3 linked regions of the Nothobranchius furzeri genome follow. The protein of the gene in region 1 purifies or fractionates together with the protein of each later gene. This does not show direct contact. Links are inferred from orthologs where the notes say so. Each region holds a gene or a part of one and is shown on either strand. Other genes may lie near its edges.

Region 1 (3,652 bases):
TGCATTATTAAGCATTAATAAACAAAGGATCCCTCTATTAACTTCCACGATATTAACTACGAATTGTCCTTAAGGTTAGGACAAAGACGTGAGGGGTGTTTTGCTTAATAATGCATTACTTAATATTAACGTTTATATAAAGCAGTTGTTACTTTAATAGTATATTAATGCTTAATAATGCGCCAAGTTACATAACTAAAGGGACCCTTATTTTAAAGTGTTACCAAAGAACTTTAATGTAGGAAGGGATAAAAGAAATAAGGTAAGAATAAAGAAAAATGGGCAAATTAGTTATAAAACCTTAAAATATCGATTTTCAAGCTTCATTATTCTGCCCTTCTTACCCTCATGATGATGCTAATTTTAGTTAAAGTTGTTCATTTAATTTGACTAAATAGAAAATAATCCACTTGAGTAAATCTTTACTGTTTATAAATGTAATTCCATATAAATTAAGTTAACTTTTAATTAAATTTAAAGGTTTTGAGTTATAATGTTGCCCAACCCAATCCAGTAGATTAATCCGTTAAAAACTACTGTTGTTACAATTAAGGAATGGTTTCATAATATCTTTGTTTCCAACTTGATTTCATTCACTGGTTTACAAAATTCAAACAACCTTTTCTTTCAAGGCCGTGCTCAAAAAAGCATCAACTCCCTCTGAAATGGGGTTAAAATTATAAAAAGAACACCCTCAGACGCACGTAAAGCTGAAACATGTCCTTTAAACACGCAACAATCAAACAAAGCTGCTTGTTCTTCTCGAAGCGGTTCCTCCTTTTGGAGAGCTAAGAATAAGTTCTGCTCGTGACATTTGTTGCCATCCACTCACTTGTTTCCTTTCAGCAGTAACACCCCTGGCTGAGCAGCCAATCGGAGCAATCTCACCGAAGGGTCCAGTTTGACAACAAACATCCAACAGCCTCAGTCATCCATGCATACACAAAAAACCACGGACAGCAAATGTTCATGCACTCCTGATAGTTTCCTCATTTCTTTATGCCATGTTTTTGTAAATAATGACAGTTTTGCCTCTGAATAAATAGTTTTCTGATATATTAGAATATCAGAATATACTAAGGTTAGGTGATTAAAGGAATTATTCAACCGTCGGCCATCGTTTTTTATTAGCGACGGGACATTGCAAACTTCCACATCAAATCAGCAATCTTTTTTGCGACACTTGTTCTATGTACATATACATATTACACATTTTTTGAAAACAATGATGAATTGCAAATCTTTAAATCTGTGGTCAGAGATGCGAGGGTTGCATGTTTCTTCAACCTGGTGTCTTGGAGCAAAGGGAATCCCAAGGTGTTGATCAGCAGCATTGTTTCTCCTGCTTTACCTACAGCCTCCTTTCACTCTGATGGGCATTACCCCCCCCCCCCCCCCCCAACTTATTTTGTGGACTAAGTCAGTAAGGTTAGATCTAGCATCTCTAATTCAGCTTTATCTCTGTTCCGACCCAAACCCGGCCCGTCATTCTAGATAGTTTTGCTCCTGTTTCTGCCTGAGCTAACCAAACGAGTTAACTCTATGAAGACCTCTGCATGCCCCCTTGACATCTTACTAATCTTTGTTTAAGAATGCTTTTCAGTCCATCGGCTCCAGCGTGCTCTCTGTAATTAACGCTTCTCTGGTTTCTGGTCAGGTCCCCCTTTTAGAATGCTGTAATTCACTCTCCTCCTAAAAATCCCAGTCTTGACCCCTCTCTCCATAGCAGCTTCAGACCCATCTCTAAACTTCCGTTCATCTCCAAGATCTTGGAAAAGGTTGTGGCTAAACATCTAACAGCTGTTCTTAATGAACTGAACACCTATGATTGCTTACAGTCAGGTTTGCGTAGAGCTCATTCTACTGAAACAGCTCTTCTTAGGGTCTCTAATGACCTTCTGACCCACAGTGATGCAGAGGACTTTTCTGTTCTGGTCCTGCTGGACATCTCCAAGTTTTGGTCCTCCACCACATCCCTCACCCATGGTGTCCCACAAGGCTCTGTGCTGGGGCCTCTATTCTTCCTCCTCTATCTGCTTCCTCTTCAGCACGTCCTGAGTTCCTTTAAAGGAATCTGCCACCATCTTTATGCAGATGACATCCAACTTTTATAAATTAGTGTAAAATCCTCGACCCTCTCTTGCAGAGATGAGGGTTGAGCAGAAATGTTTAGTAACTCTGTAAAGGTGGTTTGATTTTCTGATACTTAAAATAGGTTGTAGTTTATTTAATTGCAACCTGTTATATATTATCGCAGTTTACTGTCATTTGTCCAGTCGTTCAAAAAAGCTTTACGATGTGAAAAAAATGTAAATAAAACAAAGTGTGTGTGTATGCAAGTGTGCTCAAGGAGGGGGTGTTGTGCGACAAAGGGAGGCCCAGTGGAGAAGATTTGGAAATCATTGATATACTAATGTTTAATATAACAAGTAAAACATATTAAAAATTGAACTTTATCCAGGTGAACCAAGGTTTGTTAAAGGGGAGGCTGTGGTTCATTACAAAGTATCTTTTTATATATATTTTTCCTTTTTGTTCTCCAAGTTGTTTAGGACTTTCTCATTACTTCCTACAAAGTACAAATACTAGAAAACGGAGTGGTTTTTCCTGGAAACAAAGTTGTCCAATATTAGTTTCAGCAGTCCAAGAGCGATGTCTAGGTGTTACTTCCAACGTTTGTTCTGGTAGCCATAATAAATGATAAAATACCAGTGAACCGAATTTCATTTGTTTTATAATCCAACCATTTAACAGAATCACAAATTAAAGTTGTTGTAATTTCACGCTCTACGGACCCTGATGCCAGGCTGTTACTAGTTTCATTTCCACTCTCAGTTCCTCTTGGTGGCTAATATACAAACTAATCTCCTCAGGTCGTGTTGGCACGCCTCACTTCATGGCCCCCGAGGTGGTGAAGAGGGAGCCGTACGGCAAGCCCGTGGACGTTTGGGGGTGTGGAGTCATCCTCTTCATCCTCCTCTCTGGTTGCCTGCCCTTCTATGGCACCAAGGAGCGCTTGTTCGAGGCCATCATTAAGGGGAAATACAAGGTGGTGGTGATCAAACCATTTCTCTCATTCGCTGCACTTCATTTTGTCGCTAGCTTAGACTCAGGAGAGCTTTGTACAATTCTACAAAAGTGCTGATCTTTGTGCAGATGAATCCGCGCCAGTGGGCCCACATTTCAGAGAGCGCCAAGGACCTGGTGAGACGCATGCTGATGCTAGACCCCGCAGAGAGGATCACCGTCTACGAGGCCCTGAACCACCCCTGGCTGAAGGTTAGAGATGAGTCGCAGCCACCTTTACCCCAGCTGGCTCAAAGCCACAGCTTTGCTTTCTCATCTGTCACACTACACCCCACATCCCCTGGTTTGTGATAAGCACATTGATGTTTCCGACTTCTCCACCTGCAGGAGAGGGACAGGTACGCCTACAAGATCCACCTGCCTGAAACGGTGGAGCAGCTGAGGAAGTTCAACGCCAGGAGGAAGCTGAAGGTTAGCCGCCCTGTGACAGATTCTGTGGTCTCTTTTTAACGTTTGGTCATTTGGTTTTGAGGCGTTTCCTCCAAACATGTCTAAAAACACACGTGTGTTTTCCAGGGTGCAGTGCTGGCTGCTGTTTCCAGCCACAAGTTTAACTCCTACTACG
Region 2 (3,652 bases), on another chromosome or scaffold:
TTTTCCCTTTCCTTGTCATTTGTAGCTCAAATTCTTAAAGAGTGGAGCATAAAGGTGCTTTTGACTTTCTCAAATACTTTTCTTTTTACTGCTCCAATAAAACGTGCTTTTTACTCAAGAGCGCTGTGTTTCCATGCAGCCAGACTGATTTACTGTTAACAGGGAGGGATTATTTACTTACAAGCTGAATAAACCAATTAAGTGTATGGCCTGTATTAGTATAGGGCCTTTTGGGGTACTACAACCATCCAAAGCGCTTCACAACACAATCAGTCATTCACCCATTCACACACTGGTGGGGATGAACTACGATGTAGCCACAGCTGCCCTGGGGAGCACCAACAGAGGCGAGGCTTTCCGAACACTGGCACCACCCATCCCTCTGACCACCACCAGCAGACAAGGTGGGTTAGGTGTCATGCCCAAGGACACAACCGCAGCATCCTCTGGTTGGAGCCGGGGCCGAACCTGCAACCTTCCGATTACTGGAGAACCTGCTCTACCTTCTGAGCTACCGCTGTCCCAGAAAAAGCGTCTGCTCGTTTGTAAACGAGTCTGCATAATAAGTTGCTGAATGCTGAAATTGACCCGGCCTCTGAGATCAAGTCTTGATTACATAAACATAATTTTTCTGTATTTATTTATTTATTTTAACAGCGAGGACAGCTACTCCGTGATCGACTACGCCCTGAGGGATCAGATCCAAGTGGGCACCTGCCAGCCGGAGGAGCTCAACCTGTCTCCGGTCAAAAGCCCCACCAGCATGTTGGGCTCACGGCAACCCGGCGCCAGCCACGTCTTCCGCCTGTGTTTCCGTAGCAACCACTCAGATGTAAAGGTGCCCATGATTCTTGGAACGGAGCTGCTGTAAGTGCATAGTTTTGAAACCGTCGTTCCGTCTAATTGTGTTTTCATTGATCGTTTTCCACTTTGAATTTGGTTACTTATTGCTAGAGCGCATACCCTCAGGCACCCGTGAGTCATGTTCACCTGCGACACAACAGTGCACCTGCATGTTTTTACTTGCTTCGTTTCATTCAGCGTGTGATTTACCGGTTTGGGGATTTAATCAGCAAACTAAATCTCTGTTCCTTTAATGTGCTGAATGGGCGACTGCTTATCCCTGTGAGAGAATAAGGTTTGCTCCCGTATCTCCTTTATGCATCCGTGTGCCTTTTAACTTGAACACAGCTTTCCCCTCCATTCTTACCTCTTTTCTCATAGTCTCTGTTGCACCATTTACAGTCGCAGGGATATTTTCTTACATCTGATCAGAAAATGGATAAACGGCTCTGGAGGGTGACCCAGGAAATACTGTTTTTTTTGTTACACTGTAAAACAGACTCACTCAGCCACATAATTGATGTATTGAGTTATTTCTGTTCAAGTCTGAAGAAAGCTGCTTGTAACATGTGCAGCCTAAATGCTAATGTACCCAATTTAAAACCTCAAAACTTTGCTCTAGTCAGTATATTCAAAAACCGTTATTCCCTCTCTCTCTGTGCAGCAGTTAGTGAAAAGCACGGATGTTCGGATTACGTAACTTGCACAACAAAAGGGATGTGCTTTATGTTTTCCATCCTATTTGTTTACATGCTGAAAGACACAATCCCACAAGATGAAACAGTAATTATCTGCTATGGTTCCAGGCTTTGTTAGAGAACTGTTACTCACGCTTTTAAACGTGGAAATTATAAAGGTTCGATTATAGACGAATTACATTTCCAGCATTAAAAGAAAAACTTTATGAAATCGGTGTTAAAGAGCAAGTCACCCCCAAATCAACTTTAGTTTTGCTGTAGCTTAAATGTTTGCACGACATTTGAATTGAGTCACTCAAAGCAGGTATTTTCTACGGTAGCCAGTATCTCTGATTGTGGCCGCTCTTAGCCCCGCCTCCTGCTGGCTCAGCCACTCACGAGCCGATATGAAAAGATACAGCTCGGAGCCGCTCGCCTCCTTCATTAATCCTTCCTCCCTTTTCCTTGCCTCTCCTTCCTCTGGTGAAGAAATCCTCCACTAGGAAGCCTGCTCCTGTTTCTGTGTCCAAGCAGTAAGTGTGTGTGTGCACGTGTGTTTGTTAGCGGCTAATTTCTCAGACGTAAAATCTCAGAGAGGGGGTGGCGGGGTGCAGCTCTGTCAGTCACTGTTGCAGCGCCGCCCTCTCGGCCCGCCAGGCAAACCCTCCATTTGGTGCATTTTTCAAAAAGGAAGTGTGGGTGGAGTAAGACTCTGGTAGGGGGTGACTTGCTCTTTAAACATGAATCCAAACATTAAAATTGGTTTCATAAACCTTCTGAGTGAAAGACCCAATAATCAGTGCATTTTCACTGTTGATTAGTGTCTTTGGGTAGTCTGGCAAGCCAGACTAAATAATATATTTCATATACTCATTGACGGCTCTCAGTCGTGGGGCGGGTTCCACCATTGTCTATCAAACAATCTCCGCATGCTAGTGGACAGTGAACAATGTGACGTAGTCATCGCAATGGATGTCTGTAAACAAGGCAGTCCGCTGTTGAAGAAAGCGAAAACACATCCTTTTTCTTAAAAAAAGAGGACTTAAATACATCTATCAGCTCCTGATTCTAATAAAGCTCACGTCCAAATGGTCCAAAACTGATGTGAAAGCCATTTCAAACGAGCTGTCGCCATCTTGTTCCACTCTGTTGCATCATCCCGCCCACCAGACGAAGAGAGGGTCTTGATTGGCCCACAAAGCGGATAAAGCGTGGTGATTGGTTCACAAAGCAGATGACTGGCCCCCCCATTATGGACCAGTCACAGCTCTCCATGTGTTTGAAACTATTATTATCATTATTGTTATTATTATAAATATTATTGGTAACATTTTCATTGGATCTCAAGATTAAACATTTCCGATGTACAGGAGCACATTGACAACAACATTTACTCTGCTCCAAACGTCTGTTTGTTTGGAGCAGAACCAAGATCAGCTGCTTTTAACGTCGTTCACAAATTATCTCAGCTACACCATGTTGCTTTGATCCACCGCCGCAATTTAATGCCTTCATCATGTTAACTGGCACACAGATGAGCACATTTGCATCGTAACACACACACACACACACACACACACACACACACACACACACACACACACACACACACCGAGCCCCAACAATGAAAACACCAGTCCAGTGGTGTCCAAAAGTAGCTCCATTGACGGTTCTCGTCATGGGGTGGGGGGATTCTACCGTTGTCTTTCCAACGATCTCGCATTCTACTGAACAACCAACAACGTGACGTACTCACCGCAACTGATGCCGGTAAACAAGGCAATCCACTGTTGAAGAAGGCAAAAATATTCCTTTTTCTTAATAAAATACATTCATCTGCTCCTGATTCTAATAAAGACCAAATCCAAATAGTCCAAAATGTAAAAGCAGTTTCAAATGAGTTGTCGCCATCTTGCTCTCCTCCGTTGTTTCAACCCACCCACCACACCAGTAGAGCGCCTTGCTTCGCCCACAAAGCCGATAGAGCGCTGTGATTGGCCTGCCAGAATGCTGCTAGGGGCCGTGGAGGTTCCAGTGGAGCGTTCATTTTGGTCTAGTTCACTAGGCTAGTCCAAAAGCCCTGCTCCTCCAGGCCCGCTGACCAGCATATTTTAGACATTTCCTTGCTGCTC
Region 3 (3,652 bases), on another chromosome or scaffold:
ACTGTTTCATGAGAAAAAAGTCTGAATGAATCCAGTATTTTATCCACAAACCCGATTTTTCAGAAAAATTCTGGTAAAATTGTGAGTTTAAGCAGATAAATTGCTGTTTATACAACCTGTGGAGTTTGAAACACTAAAAAAATGTGCAAAAGATGTTTTTATTAAAGCGAAATTCACATTTTCTCTGTTAGAGATGCAGGATGAGTTCATAAGGAGCAGCTCTGTTCATTTATCTGCCCTGATATCATGTTGTGTTTAAATTCAGACACGGTGGGTGAGGATGCAGTTTTTTCACATCTAGAGTTTTAAAAGCAGACCTGAAGCATGACTTGACAAAAATGACGATATGTTGTCTAATTAATTCCCGTAAGGAATCCTGATAAAAACACGTCTTTTATAAGAGTTTCCTGCTGATCCTGACTGACGTTCCTGATTCAGATCCAGCTGGAAGGCGGGCGGCAGCAGTTCCGGCCGCTGGTCATGGCGCTGACAGAAAAAGACATCCTCCTGTTTGAGTCGGTGCCGTGGAGCCGAGAGTCCTGGTCCATGCCTGTGCTCACACACCCGCTGCTCGCCACCAGGTAGAGGCCGATCCAAAATCACAACAAGCTTTATGTGCTTTCATTTCTTTATTGAGTAGCATCTCCAGTGTAATTAAGCTAGAACAGAAGGTCAAGGTCAACTTTATTTATAGAGCGCATTTACCGCAGCAAAGCTACACCAAAGCACTGTACAAGGTAAAACAAATCAAGATACAACAGATCAACAATAAAAACTAAAATAAGATGAACACACAACAGTCACAATCTATGATAAAAACTGTTAAAAACTATCAAGATGCTCAAGTCAGCCTGCATTAAAAGCCAAATCAAAAAAATGCGTCTTAAGAAGGGATTTAAAATGCTCTAGACTCTGTGTGGTCCTGATGTTGAGAGGTAGCTTGTTCCACAGTTTGGGCCCAACCACAGAGAACGCTCTGTCGCCGCGAGTCTTGTGGCGGGTTTTTGGAACTGTTAAAAGAGCTTGAGAGCTGGACCTCATGGTTCTGGCGGGGACGTAAGCAGACGGCAGCTAAGAGATGTAAACTGGGGCCAGGCCATGAAGGGATTTAAAAACAAAAAGTAAAATTTTGAAATGGATCCTGTAAGAGACAGGAAGCCAATGGAGAGAGACCAGAACCGGGGTTATGTGATCCCGCTTGCTGATTCCAGTCAGCAAGCGGGCCGCTGCATTTTGGAACAGCTGAAGTCGGTGTAGGGAGGACTGGTCCAGGCCAGAATACAGGGGCCTGCAGTAGTCCAATCGGCAGGACACGAACAGGTGGGTGACATGTTGATAAAAACCTGATTGGACCACTGCACTCACCTGTCTGTGAAGATTAAAAGAACCGTCTAAAAACACACCAAGGTTGTTAACACAGGCTTTTAGAAAACCAGAACAAGGACCAAGAGGACTGGTGGCCGGGCTTTCGCCCATGGGGCCCGGCCAGGCTCAACCCGGACCGGATACATGGGCTCATCCAACTGTGGACCCACCACCCGCAGGAGGAACATGAAGGGTCGGGTGCAGTGTGGATCGGGTGGCAGACCAAGGCGGGAGCCTTGGCGGTCCGATCCCCGGACAAGAAAACTGGTTTTTGGGACATGGAACGTCACCTCGCTGGCGAGGAAGGAGCAGGAGCTTGTGGCAGAGGTTGAGCGGTACCGGCTAGATATAGTCGGACTCACCTCGACACATAGCATTGGCTCTGGAACCCAAGTCCTTGTGAGGGGTTGGACACTCTCCTTTGCTGGAGTTGCTCCGGGTGAGAGGGGGAGGGCTGGGGTTGGCTTTTTGTTAGCCCCAAGACTCTCTGCCTGTGTGTTGGGGTTTACCACGGGGGATGAGAGGGTAGCTTCCCTCCGCCTTTGGGTCGGGGAACGGGTCCTGACTGTTGTTTGTGCTTATGGGCCAAATATCAGTTCAGAGTACCCACCCTTTTTGGAGTCTCTAGGACGAGTGCTAGATAGTGCTCCATCAGGGGACTCCATTGTCCTGCTGGGGGACTTCAATGCTCACGTGGGCAATGACAGCTTGACCTGGAGGGGTGTGATTGGGAGGAACAGCCCGCCTGATCTGAACTCGAGTGGTGTTTCGTTATTGGACTTCTGTGCAAGCCACAGTTTGGCCATAACGAACACCATGTTCGAACATATGGATGCCCATCGGTACACTTGGTACCAGGGCAGCCTAGATCGCACGTCGATGATAGACTTTGTAGTCGTATCATCTGACCTGCGGCCGTATGTTTTGGACACCCGAGTGAAGAGAGAAGCGGAGCTGTCAACTGATCACCACCTGGTGGTGAGTTGGATCATATGGCAGGGGAGGATGCTGTGTAGACCTGGCAGACCCAAACGCATAGTGAGGGTCTGCTGGGAACGCCTGGCAGAAGAACCTTTTAAGACGGTCTTCAACTCCCGCCTCCGACAGAGCTTTGACCGCATCCCGAGAGCAGTGGGGGACATCGACTCTGAGTGGGCCTTGTTCCATTCTGCGATTGTTGAGGCGGCTGTTGCTAGCTGTGGTCTCAAGGTGGCCGGTGCCAGTCGTGGTGGCAACCCCCGTACCCGCTGGTGGACAAAAGGTTCGGGGAGCCATCAGGCTGAAGAAGGAGGCCTACAGGGCGTGGCTGGTCTGTGGGTCTCTGGAGGCAGCAGACAGGTACCGGATAGCCAAGCGGGGTGCAGCAGTGGCAGTTGCCGAGGCAAAATCTCGGGCGTGGGAGGAGTTTGGTGAGGCCATGGAGAAAGACTATCGATCGGCTCCAAAGAGGTTCTGGCAAACTGTCCGGTGCCTCAGGAGAGGAAGGCAGCAACTCGCTCACACTGTTTACAGTGGGGATGGGGAGCTGCTGACGTCAACTGGGGCAATAGTCGGACGGTGGAAGGAATACTTTGAGGAGCTCCTCAATCCCACCAATGCGCATTCCGAGGAGGAACCAGAGCCGGGAGACCTGGGGATGGACTGTCCAATCTCGGGGGCAGAAGTTGCTGAGGTAGTCAAACAACTACACAGCGGCGGAGCCCCGGGGACAGATGAGGTTCGTCCTGGGTATCTCAAGGCTATGGATGTTGTAGGGTTGTCATGGTTGACACGTCTCTGCAACATTGCGTGGTCATCGGGGGCAGTTCCTGTGGAGTGGCAGACCGGGGTGGTGGTCCCCATCTTTAAGAAGGGTGGCCTGAGGGTGTGTTCCAACTATAGGGGGATCACACTCCTCAGCCTCCCTGGAAAGGTCTACTCCATGGTACTGGAGAGGAGGGTCCGATCGATAGTTGAATCTCAGATAGAGGAGGAGCAATGTGGTTTTCGTCCTGGCCGTGGAACTGTGGACCAGCTCTATACCCTTGCAAGGGTGATGGAGGGGGCATGGGAGTTTTCCCAACCAATCCACATGTGTTTTGTGGATTTGGAGAAGGCTTATGACCATGTCCCCAGGGGCACCCTGTGGGGGACGCTCCAGGAGTATGGGGTGGGTGGCCTTTTGTTAAGGGCCATTCAGTCCCTTTACCAGAGGAGCGTGAGTTTGGTCTGCATAGCCTGTAGTAAGTCGGACCTGTTCCCAGTGAGGGTTGGACTCCGCCAGGGCTGCCCTTTGTCACCGGTTCTG

Evidence for each region.
Region 2: the proteins of peripheral plasma membrane protein CASK (region 1) and rho guanine nucleotide exchange factor 26 purify together in Homo sapiens (affinity purification with mass spectrometry; 3 studies listed by BioGRID and IntAct, with this or other methods). This does not show direct contact. The link is inferred for Nothobranchius furzeri from reciprocal best matches to the Homo sapiens genes CASK and ARHGEF26.
Region 3: the proteins of peripheral plasma membrane protein CASK (region 1) and sntb2 purify together in Homo sapiens (affinity purification with mass spectrometry; 3 studies listed by BioGRID and IntAct, with this or other methods). This does not show direct contact. The link is inferred for Nothobranchius furzeri from reciprocal best matches to the Homo sapiens genes CASK and SNTB2.

Annotation. Positions count from the first base shown.
Region 1 is NC_091754.1:50,587,554-50,591,205, forward strand, and holds part of peripheral plasma membrane protein CASK, read left to right. Parts: intron 1-2,873; coding exon 2,874-3,052; intron 3,053-3,156; coding exon 3,157-3,279; intron 3,280-3,414; coding exon 3,415-3,498; intron 3,499-3,603; coding exon 3,604-3,652. UniProt on the Homo sapiens protein: Multidomain scaffolding Mg(2+)-independent protein kinase that catalyzes the phosphotransfer from ATP to proteins such as NRXN1, and plays a role in synaptic transmembrane protein anchoring and ion channel trafficking.
Region 2 is NC_091753.1:51,579,548-51,583,199, reverse strand, and holds part of rho guanine nucleotide exchange factor 26, read left to right. Parts: intron 1-657; coding exon 658-867; intron 868-3,652. UniProt on the Homo sapiens protein: Activates RhoG GTPase by promoting the exchange of GDP by GTP. Required for the formation of membrane ruffles during macropinocytosis. Required for the formation of cup-like structures during trans-endothelial migration of leukocytes.
Region 3 is NC_091744.1:86,335,136-86,338,787, forward strand, and holds part of sntb2 (beta-2-syntrophin), read left to right. Parts: intron 1-438; coding exon 439-581; intron 582-3,652. UniProt on the Homo sapiens protein: Adapter protein that binds to and probably organizes the subcellular localization of a variety of membrane proteins. May link various receptors to the actin cytoskeleton and the dystrophin glycoprotein complex.